Linked DNA regions of Drosophila melanogaster. The protein of the gene in region 1 purifies or fractionates together with the protein of each later gene. This does not show direct contact. Each region holds a gene or a part of one and is shown in the gene's direction. Other genes may lie near its edges. The genes, in order: Exo84 and Sec3.

The links.
Region 2: the proteins of Exo84 (region 1) and Sec3 fractionate together in Drosophila melanogaster (co-fractionation; one study listed by BioGRID). This does not show direct contact.

What each region holds. Positions count from the first base shown.
Region 1 is NT_033777.3:26,048,972-26,054,083, reverse strand, and holds Exo84 (exocyst 84), read left to right. Parts: upstream 1-1,826; 5' UTR 1,827-1,854; coding exon 1,855-1,894; intron 1,895-1,954; coding exon 1,955-2,113; intron 2,114-2,166; coding exon 2,167-2,497; intron 2,498-2,551; coding exon 2,552-3,324; intron 3,325-3,383; coding exon 3,384-3,913; intron 3,914-3,968; coding exon 3,969-4,154; 3' UTR 4,155-4,353; downstream 4,354-5,112. Other genes in the region: Vps2 (vacuolar protein sorting 2), read right to left, coding at 337-794, 855-1,167.
Region 2 is NT_037436.4:17,421,231-17,427,020, reverse strand, and holds Sec3 (secretory 3), read left to right. Parts: upstream 1-1,803; 5' UTR 1,804-1,921; coding exon 1,922-2,575; intron 2,576-2,633; coding exon 2,634-2,861; intron 2,862-2,919; coding exon 2,920-3,369; intron 3,370-3,441; coding exon 3,442-3,923; intron 3,924-3,979; coding exon 3,980-4,487; intron 4,488-4,565; coding exon 4,566-4,913; 3' UTR 4,914-5,234; downstream 5,235-5,790. Other genes in the region: Polr3G (RNA polymerase III subunit G), read left to right, coding at 1-95, 165-293, 351-713; COX7B (cytochrome c oxidase subunit 7B), read right to left, coding at 826-882, 942-1,111, 1,381-1,426. UniProt on the Drosophila melanogaster protein: Component of the exocyst complex involved in the docking of exocytic vesicles with fusion sites on the plasma membrane.

The sequences.
Region 1 (5,112 bases):
TGTATATACATATATATATAATTTCATGATTTGGAAATTCCTTTTTCTTATTTTATTGAAGACAGGCATGAAACGTACATATCTTTTAAAATACCGAATATTGTATAGCTCTAAAGTAACAAGTATTGCGAATTTGTTTGTAGCTAGGCTGTGCGATTGCAGCACTACCCAGTTCTTTCCATTATAGCTTGTAAATGCTAATTACTCATCGATTTTTCAAACACGCAGGGAACGAAAATCACAAGCATTCTCTTTAATATAACATTCGCTTCTGGGAGATACAAACGGGTGGTGGCTCTTACATAAAGTGGACAGGCAGTGGTTCTTAGTAGCGGCTCAATCCTTGCGCAGCTTATCCAGGCGCGCCTGAAGATCCGCATCGGCATCGGACATGGGCGATGAGGCACCACTGCCACCGGGAGCTCCCGGACCACCAGCGCCGCCACCACTAGCTCCACCTCCGCCGGCGGCTCCACCGCCGCCAACGCCACCAGCGGCCACAGCCTGTGCTTTCTGAGCGCCAGCGCCGCCGGCTATGGAAAGGGAACCGGAGGCGGAAGGAAGGTCTCCCAGCTGTTCGCCCAATTGCAGACCCAGTTCGTCCAGCACCTGGGACACAACAGCATCCGTCTCCTCCTCGTCGCCCTCGTCCTCCATGGCGTCATCGATGGCATCGTTGATCATCTCCTCCTTCATGTCCATCATTTCCGACTGTTTCTCGAAGTCCTGCAGGATCTTCTGGATTTGCGGGAGATTCAGCTGGCGGTTCATGTTCTGCATGGCCTTCGTGACACCTGGAAGATAAGCATAATTGCTTGATAAGCGGGTGAATCAGCCAAATAGCCAATGTTTACCTTTCATGGCCTGTGCCATTGTGTTCTGCGACTTGAGCGTCTGAATTTTGAGGGACACCGCCTGGATGTTTGCCTTCATCAGCATGAACTTCTTGGCATACCGCCGCGTGCGCACCAGATCCTTGGCCATGATCTTCACGGCATCCATTTGACCCTCCTTGGCCATCTTCTTGATATCCGCGATAATCTTCTTCTCCTGCTGCTCCATTTTCATCCGCTCGCGGTCCAGATCTCGCATCGCTTTGTTGAGCGCCCGCTGATTCTTACGCAGCATCTCATCGGGGCTGATCTTCTTGCCGAATAGCCAGTCCATGTTTAAGGATATCTTAACTGCAAGATTTAATTACGAAGAATGACGGAGTTTCCTAAAGATTACTCATCAACCAAAACAATAAGCGAAGGGTGTGCGCGATTCTAAGGTGGCCAAGACGTGTTGGCGCTTACATGCGAATAGTGCTAGTGGGAAGAAGAAGCTTTGCCGGTGCACTCTGAAAGAACTGTTCACACTTCAACTTAGTGAATTAGCAACAGGTGGAAAATAATTTTAATTTATTACAATACAACACACACACATTGTAATGAATAGTATACATATAGACATATGTCTTCTTGATTTTTAACGTAGATCTTTGACGTAGTCGTTTATATTTAAAAGTTCAGTTCGAATAAAAAGTATTCAGGGCTTCAACGCCTAATCATACCTAAGATGAAAATCCGAAATGTAAATGCGAATAAATTTGTTGATCTCTAAAAGGTCTTTGACGTAGCCGTTCAGTTCGAATAAAACTTTTCATAGGTTTTAAATCTTAATTAATCTCCTATTACTTAAAACTAAATAAAAATGTTCTAGATTTATAGATTTATCTAATACCAGGGAAAACTGCAGTGAAAACATGGCATTTTCTATAGCATCAGCAACCTTACAATCGACACCTCATGATGACGCTCGTTCGTTGTGAATGGCTCTGCGTCAGCTGCAGTTTACATTCCAATCAGAATCATGAAGGAGTTCGACGATTTTAATTTTAGCGTTGAGAAATGTAAGTATTCCTATGTCTATTTAGCATTAATCAGTCTACTAATAAGTACAACGTTCCCAGATACCAAGGACCTGACACGAGAATGTGTGGGTGGCAGCGATTTGCAGCAGCGAAAAAAGGAAATCGAGGCCTACAACGAAACGACGGCAGCAACGCTCAAGCAAACATGCAAAAAGAACTATATGGAGTTTATACAGACGGCCAAGGAGATATCACGTAGTTTACGCCCCCCAATATCAATATACATTTATGTTAATATTTTCGCATCGCAGATCTCGAGTCGGAAATGTATCAACTGTCGCACATTCTGATTGAGCAGCGCAATATTCTGGCCACCATGACGGATGGCAAGACTTCCAGTCACCTGAAGGCAGAGAGTTTGGAGGCGGAGAGCACTACGGCGACGGAGGATCTGGAGAATAGCCATGCCACGCGGGCGGTCAAGGAAATGGTCCAGGGCTTCAATGGCAATCTGGAAGGCAAGACCTTCCTCAACGAGGGAGCTCTAATCGAGTTGGACAGTAATGATTATCGACCCATTCAAAGGGTCTTCTTTTTCCTCTTCAACGATGTACTGATTGTCTGCAAAGTGAAGCATGATAAGTAGGTTTTCCTATACTAAAGCATATAGCAAAAACTAATAGTAATATTTTTCAGGCGCTTGGATTTCCTCACCGAGTACGACCCCAAGAAAATAGCCGTGATTAACATTAAGGACTTGGATGGCGTTAAGAATGCCATTAATATCATTACTCCAGATGGTTCCAAGATCTATCAAAGCATCACGGCTGCTGGGAAGACGGAGTGGATAGAGAAGCTCGAAGAGGCCTTCCGCTTTGACCAGCAAAAGAAACCAAAAAAGGGCCAGGCGCCACAGCCTCCAACTCGGGCCAAACAGCAGTCAAAAGCTTCGACTCCGGAGAAGGAAACCACACCCCAGAGTCCCGGACAGCCCAAATCCCTGGAGGATGAGACGCCCGAGTGGCTAAGCACGGCCAGTGAAGAGATTCAGACCCTGGTGGCCCAACGGCATTTCGAGGATGCCCAGGAGCTGATAAAGCGAACCCAGGACTTCTTGCGAAACGAGAACCGAAAGAAGTTGCCACTAGCGGACGCCATTGAAACCAAGGTGAAGCAGCAGGAGCTGAAGCTGATCAATGTGCTGCTCAAGGAGTTGTCCAACAGTCACAATCGCAATCTGCAGATCGCTCTGAGAGCAGCCAAGCGGCCTCTGAAGATTCTCGTAGAGATGGGTCGCTATCGGCAGGCGAGTGCCACTCTGCTGAAGGTCTGCGCCGTCAGTTTGCGGGTGGCGCAACGGGAGGCGCGCAGGAATAATGCGGATATATCGGAACTCTTCTTTTGTGACCTGACGCAGGTGGCCTGTGATTTTCTCACCGCCTTTGAGAAGCAACCGGCGTGCGTTAGCGGTAAGCTTCATTCCTATTTCTGTCTACATTTAAGTATTACTACTATCTAATTCTTGCAGCGCTCGTGGTTTGGTGCAATGCGGAGCTGCAATATTTTGCCAGCCAACTGATAAAGCATTACCTGACCAAGGGAACCTCCCTGGAGTCAGTGGCCAAATGTGTGGAGCGAGTGCGCAAGCCCTCGACAAAGCTCACAGAGATCGGGCTGGACATTAGTTATCATTTGGAAGGTCTGTTGCGCACTACACTCGAGTCGCTCATAGAGGAATCCAAGGAGCGACTGCTGGACTCCGTGGGTCGCACCGAGGAGAGCTGGCAGCCGTACAATTTGCAGACCAAGTCGAACCTGAAGCGTCTGCTCCTGGAGCTCGATGTCTTGGGTATCGATGTGCGAGCCCAGGCGACGGGCGACACATGGATTAATCTCACCCAGTCGACAGTGGTTTTCATCAGACACTTCCTGCAGCTCACCGAGTACTGCGGCTGTCTGGCCAAGTGCGAAACCCTGCTGCAGAGCCTGGAACTGCTTCTTAAGGAGCTGTTCATTGCCCAGCATTCGTTGAAACCGCCCAGCGACATGGCCGTGGATGTAAGTTAGAAAGCAGCTTAAATAAAACCGCTCTCTTCAAGAATGCCATTTTCAGCCCAACTTTGTAATGAAGAACAAGATTTTTCTGGTGGACAACCTGCTGCCCATCGCCATCGACAAGTTTCGACAGATTTCTGGACGCCAGTGCGAGGGATTGCGCGAGTTGCACACGAAAATGTCCCGCCAGCAAGGTGCTCCAGTGCCGCGCCAGCGCAGCGTCTACACCACAGATGTGTTTTAGATGCACGCCGTGGGATTTACTTTCGATTACATATAATTTTTTATTTTTTCGTTTTGCTTCAATTATTTATAATATAATTATATACATATATAACCACAATAATAATAATATTTGTAAAATTAAAAATCGAAGCGTGTGCTGCACTCTATCTCTTGCTTATTACAATTTCGCCGCTCGCATTATATATATAATTGTAAATATATATAAATCGATTCGTTTTCTGTTTTTCATATATATACTCTAAACACTAAACAATTTAGCTGTGTTCTACTTTTCGGTTTCGGTTGTTGATGCGGCTCTCTCTGTGTTGGGTTTAGCTGCTCAAAATATAGGATTTTACACTTGGTTCTGAAGAGTTGAGTTTGATTCACACAATTAATTCCTCGATTTTCTCATTACACATTTTCTCAAATTACATACAAGCAAAGCGGACTGCTCTGAGCTTCTAACTACTGACCCCCAATGCGAGTGAGTGTTTCGAAAGTGGTTTCCGTGTTTAATTTATAATGTAAAACTCTTAACTAAAATGCTTACTAAGTATATTCATTTATAATTATATATATATATATATATATATACCTTTTATGCAAATGTGTTTTGTGTTTTTCGTATGTTGTGTTTGTGTGTGTGTGGTGTGTGTTTGGAGGGACGTTGGGAGGTAAGGAAACTGACAACTTAAAATTACATTTGTTGTTGCATTCGCTGTCTGACTTTTCAGCTAAATTACAAAAACCGCTCACATAAAACAAACTAAAAGCACTCGCATCGTATTTGTATTTAACTCCTTTTGTTCAGCTGGTAATCATAATCTCAACGCTCCTGCAATTGCAATGACTGACTAATTCCACTTATCCTCCTATTTGTTTTTATGTTAAGATGAACGTAGGTAGGTATCGCCGACTTTTTATGTTTCTGTTTCCGGTTTCATTTTGTTAATTTTACAACATACTCGTTTCTG
Region 2 (5,790 bases), on another chromosome or scaffold:
AAATGGCCATGTTGGGATGCACAAAGGATATGCCGGTGCAGACGGCGCCGCCACCTACATTTCCGCCTGTTTTGAACAGACCCACTACCCTAGAAGTGGGTACAAATCCATTTACATTAGTTTAAAAAACATCGATCAACTTTTTACCTGTTTTACTTCGATAGACAACAGCCACACAGAACTATCAGCTCCTGTGGAAGGAGGACTTTCTGAACCGAATGCGAGATTCCCCCTATTACATGATCTCCGCCAGTCGGGACGCAAAAAACCTTGATCACAAGGACTGGCGAGAAGTAATAATACTGGCTATTTTAAATTAGCTGCTTATAATCCTGCTTTTACACCCCCAGAAAGCCATGGAGCGCATGAAGCTCACAGCACAACCCGATTTTAACTACAAAGCCATGCCCCAAGAGCTAAACATCTCCAGTCGAAAACGTCGTGGAGCAGATGCAAGGCCGAATCTGCTGACCAAGAAGACAAACATCGAGGACAGACTGAAGGTTCTGGAGCAGAAAGAACTGAAATCAGGTGGCGGTGAGCAGGACGAGAACAAACAAGAGTCCGATTCCGAACAGGAGGAGGAGGAAGATCCGGAGGCGGCGTTGGATGATGAGATGGACGAGGACAACGACTACGGTGCAACGTACTTTGATAATGGAGAAGCCTTCAATGATGAGGACGACAACTTGGACGATGGTCCCGTTTACTGAGACAAATAAAACCATCGAACTGATTACTTTCGGATCTGTGATTTACTATGTCGCCACTTTAAGCTTATTTAACACAAATGTTGGATTAATTTACACGTAAGGGAACGCTGGCTTAGTCCAGGCTCTTGGGCGCGTAGTAGTTGAAGTGGATGATACCAGAAGATTTCACCTGCAAAGCGTATTTCAATAAGACCGATATGGGATGGAAGGAATATGGCAGCCACTTACGAATCCAATAGTGCCGGCCAGGACGAGAATGCCAGTGATGAGCGCGGCATTGTACTTGGCGTTCTTCTGGCTGTGCTGCTCCTTCCAGTCTCCAGCGGGCACGGGCAGATCGTTCATGGTGGAGTGGGGACCATGTCCACCGTGGTAAGCGGCACGCGACAAAGCGCCAGCTGAAATGAGAGAACAAGAAAGAATATTCAAGTGATTGGTTTTAAAAAGGGGGTAATCCCAACGAAATGCAACTTGGTTAATGATCTCATCCAAGTTTCTTCCGATATCTGTTTGGCTAATTCTGATAATATCCATGGCTATGCTGAAGATTGGTGGGTGAACCATTCCTTCGCAGTTCCTTGAAGTTTCTCCCTTTGCTTATCCACATTATGTAATTTTTAAGGTTAGCAGTTTTGCTGAAAAGAGGTGTTGGGCCACTCCAACTCACCGTTCTTGAGCAGAAGCCCCTGCTTGACAATGTGCTTAACCAACATGATTGCTCGAAAGTAGCTGGAAATGGGTAAATATGGGTTTATTTTCACTGCCAATACTTTTTCGCATTATAACTCACCCGAAGATTACCTTGTGTTGAACAGTGTGACCGTTGTGTTGTTATAGAATAATATCTACCCTACAGTTGGGATGAGATCACGAGCTGCATACTTGTTATTACCTACGATGCGATGAAACCTTCAATGTATCTATTATACTGAAATGTTTAAATAACAATATGATTTAATACATTTTAATTGGTTTCTGTAGTCTTAGCATATTTTTGCTATGTGACTTTTAACCACGTAAAGAACACTCACGCAATGCGCTCATCCCCAACCGATAGTCTGTAAACGCCTCTGCAGAAGCTCTGTTAAATCAGCTGTTGGTGCGGAGGCGTTCTCCAATTGCTAATTGCAAGTGCAAACAACTGGCCAGTTGTTGATTCTTGAAAGGACTTTATTCGAGACCAGTGCATCCCGAAGATATACCCAGCCATGCTGTCCATTGGCGCTATGGCCAACATCAAGCACACGCTGCAGAAGGAACTCTTCTTGGCCTCCGGAGAACGCCTCCTTTCTGTGGTGACGGTGGTCAAGAAGAAGGACAAGAAGCCGTGCTACCTTTGCGTTGTCACCACGGCGCCACCGGTACCCGTGGTCACTTTGTGCCTGATCAAACAGTCGGAGCAGCGCGAGGGCGAATACAAGCGCAAGCGGAGCTGGCAGCTGGACGAGATTAAGTGGGTTGACGGCCGGAACGAGCAGTTCGAGACGCACGAGTTCGATCTGCAGTTGGAAAAGCTGTACAAATGGTACGCCCTTAACCCTCACGAGCGCCAAAACTTTCTGGCCGTGCTCAATCGCCAAATCCAAAAAAGCGTGCGTGGCCAGCGGGCGGAATTCCGGAATGTGCCCGCAGCGTGGTTGTCGGAGAAGTCGCCGGAAAAGGTGGCATTGGGCAGAGCGGTTCAGAAGACGCAACACATGGACGACGAGGAGGACGAAGAGGAGGAGGCCCAGGAGTTTACCGCTCTGACGGACAAAGAGGCCAATGAGCTGGGCAAACTTTTCTCCGAGTGCGACTTCGCCATTAAAGATGCTGAGCAGTTCATAGAGCAGCTGTCGCGTGAGCTCCACGATTTGGATGGGGTTAGTAAATTGGGCTTGTCCACCGTGTATACATTACTCATAATTTCTTATCTCGCAGGCCAATATGCAAAGTGTACTTGCCTCGGAACAGAAGGTTCTGAAAATGATGGAACACATCGACAATGCTATCTCCGAGGCGGATAAGTTTGAAAACCGTCTTGATAGCTACGAGGACATTCTGGGGCATGTCAAGGAAACCATGGAGAAAATTGGAGGCAAAAATGCCATGATCGAAATTGCCAACAATAACAATATCAAGCTTATGAAGGAGCTCAACAAAGTCATAGTGCGTATTCTTAGTGTACTCAATTTTATACTGTTTAATAATTCTGCTACTTCTGCAGAGTCAACTGGATCTGCCGCACAGCCAGCAGCAGGCTCTGGATGAACCCGATTTAAAGACCGCCAATGGACGCAAAGCAGCCATTGCAGCTGCTCAGTGCCTGCAACAGGCAATGAACAGCGATATAGATCCTGCTCTGCTGCGTTTGGAGGCGGTGCAGGACCAACGCAAGCGCTTTGAAAAGTGGAAACAAAAATTCTCTGCCACGGTCAGTCGGTTTATGAACAACCTCTTCATCCACCTGGGCAATGAAATAGGAGACATGCAGGTGACTAGCACTGAACTTACGCTGCCTAACCATTCCAACGTCCATCGGGAACTGACGCCTTATACTGAGCTGATGCACTGGACAAAAGCCATGGATCGGAAGACCTACGATGGTCTAATGCGTGTGTACACAGCATCGCTGAGCAAGATCTATGACAGGGATGTGAGGAACTTCTTCAATTTGGTAAGACATGAACATGGAAATGTAATAGTTTGTAATCTAAGCTAATCTCGATCACTTCTGATTATTTTATAGGCTAAAATTCAGGTGACGGAAAAGCTTCGTAATTCTCGGGAGGATCTGGACATGTCTACGTCTTCAAGAAAGTCCGCAGTTTCCACAATACCTTATGGCACACTGGGAATCAACAGGGATCAGTGGGGTCCCGGTGTAGAGACAGCGGATCGAATGCGTTTTGATGCATTGTTGGAAAAGGTTCTAGCTGAGCTGGAACCCATCGCCCTGCAGGAACAGCTTTTCTGCATCAACTTTTTTCAGATGGACGTTATTAGTCCAACGACAAAGAACACACAGACTACGTTGGAGATGGAAAAGGCGGTGGATATGACACAGTCAATCATATCAGGAGCGGTTTCGCCATCAGGTGATGGTGTTCCGCAGAAGCGGATTGACCGTCAAATTAACGAAGATGTGCGTAAACTGATGATGGGCCTTTTCGGTTGCCTAGAACCAGAGCTAGTTAGCTTCATCCAGAGCTTTGAGCGTGTAGACAGCTTGTAAGTAAACAATATAGTAATGGAGTAAGGAGTAATTAACAAATTTGTTTTCGTAGCTACTCTCTGTACGTTTTTGTGCGACTTACGCAGCACGTCATGTCCGCCCAGGACACACATTCCTTTCTTAGCATGACCTTCGCTTCCGCCTTGGTGCAGGTGAAGCGGAGCTTCGACCGCTTTATGCAGAACCAACTACTGTCTATCCGGGAGGCAAAGCTGCACAAACGTTCTAAGGCCATTCTGCCGTATGTGGAAAACTTTGAAAACTTTGCCCAAACTGCAGAGGGCATATTTCGGAAATCGGATCGCCGAACGGACATGGAGAAGTGGTACTTGCAGCTGGTGAATGCCATATTTGAGGGCATCCAACTGCATTCGCAGGAGCACCCCAAGACACCAGTTCAGGTAGTGCGCATGGAGAACTACCACCACATGTACGCTTTGTTAGCCCAGCTCAAGGTTCCTGGTCTGGACGCCCTGAAAAAGGAGGCCAAGAAGTGTTATAACGATGCGCTAAAAGCGTATGTGACTCAGTACTTCGGCCGGCCGCTGGAGAAACTGAATGTAAGCCAAAGTCAATGACCTTCCAGAAGAAAAGATAAGTCGATCTTCATCTCATAAATTTCCGTTCTGCCTTTGCAGCAATTCTTCGAAGGCGTGCAACTTAAGGTGGCCCAGGGAGTCAAGGAAACGGAAATCAGCTACCAGATGGCATTCTCCAAGCAGGAACTCCGCAAGGTGATCGCTCAGTATCCTGCACGAGAGGTGAAGAAAGGACTGGAGAACCTATATAAGAAGGTGGAAAAGCACCTGAGCGAGGAGGAGAATCTGCTGCAAGTGGTATGGCATGCCATGCAGGAGGAGTTCATTGCCCAGTATAATTACCTGGAGGAGCGCATCCAAAAGTGCTACGCCGGCGCCATGATCAACCTGGAGTTCAACATTCAGGACATACTCGCCTTCTTCTCGGACATAGCGCGCTCCCACTGATCTAGGGATTGGAATCTGAAAGTCAGGGAGCGGTTCAACCGGGTTTTATTTTTAAGTGCAATAGTATTTAAAGCGCTGTTTCTGCTGATTGCAAAATATATGGCGCGTATATTTAAACAGATGTGGATCTGCGAATGTTCGAAACGTCCAAGAGAGAGGGATCGCGTAGTGAAAAATCAACGAGACTAGGCCTTAAAGGGAACTTTTCAACAGCTAGCCATTGAAGTTGATTATTGTATAAGTTCTAAGCTAAAATTACATAGCCAATACTCAACTTTTGTCCAAGAATGCGAGTAAACTAAATTTTATATATAAAAATGTAGAATTTCTAGAGATCTTACTTGATCTTTAGTACGTCAGCTTTTAAAAATCACAGATAGAAGTTTGACTTTTTGTATTTATACTTTTATAGTATAACTCTAATTTACTACCGTGCACATTCAAACAGCCTCCTAAGGTCAAAGAGAGCTCTTCAAGATCAAAAGAGATAGATCATAGCCTAAAGAGAGAGAGAGAGAGAGAGAGTGCTCGAAGAGTGAGCTTTCCGGGGTGGCTTTTCGTTCGCCAGCCGTTGGAGTTCGGGCTGGTGCTCCCAGTCAAGCCGCGCGACTCTTTCGCATCGGTTGTCGCCTGTCCGCGTGATTTACCCAACTGCAGTATAAGCATTTTATTTCGTGTATTTTAAATTGTTCTAGCCGTACGTGTTTCCGTGTGTGCTCATGTGCCGTGTTGATAACTCCGTGAAATGCAAATGGTAATTGCAAATGGCAAATGGCAAACGGAAAATGGAAGAAGCCGCAACGACTTGCGACTGAATGTGGTGCATATTTTATGAAGCTCCGACAGGGAGAACAAAAAGTTAGACTACCGCCGAACC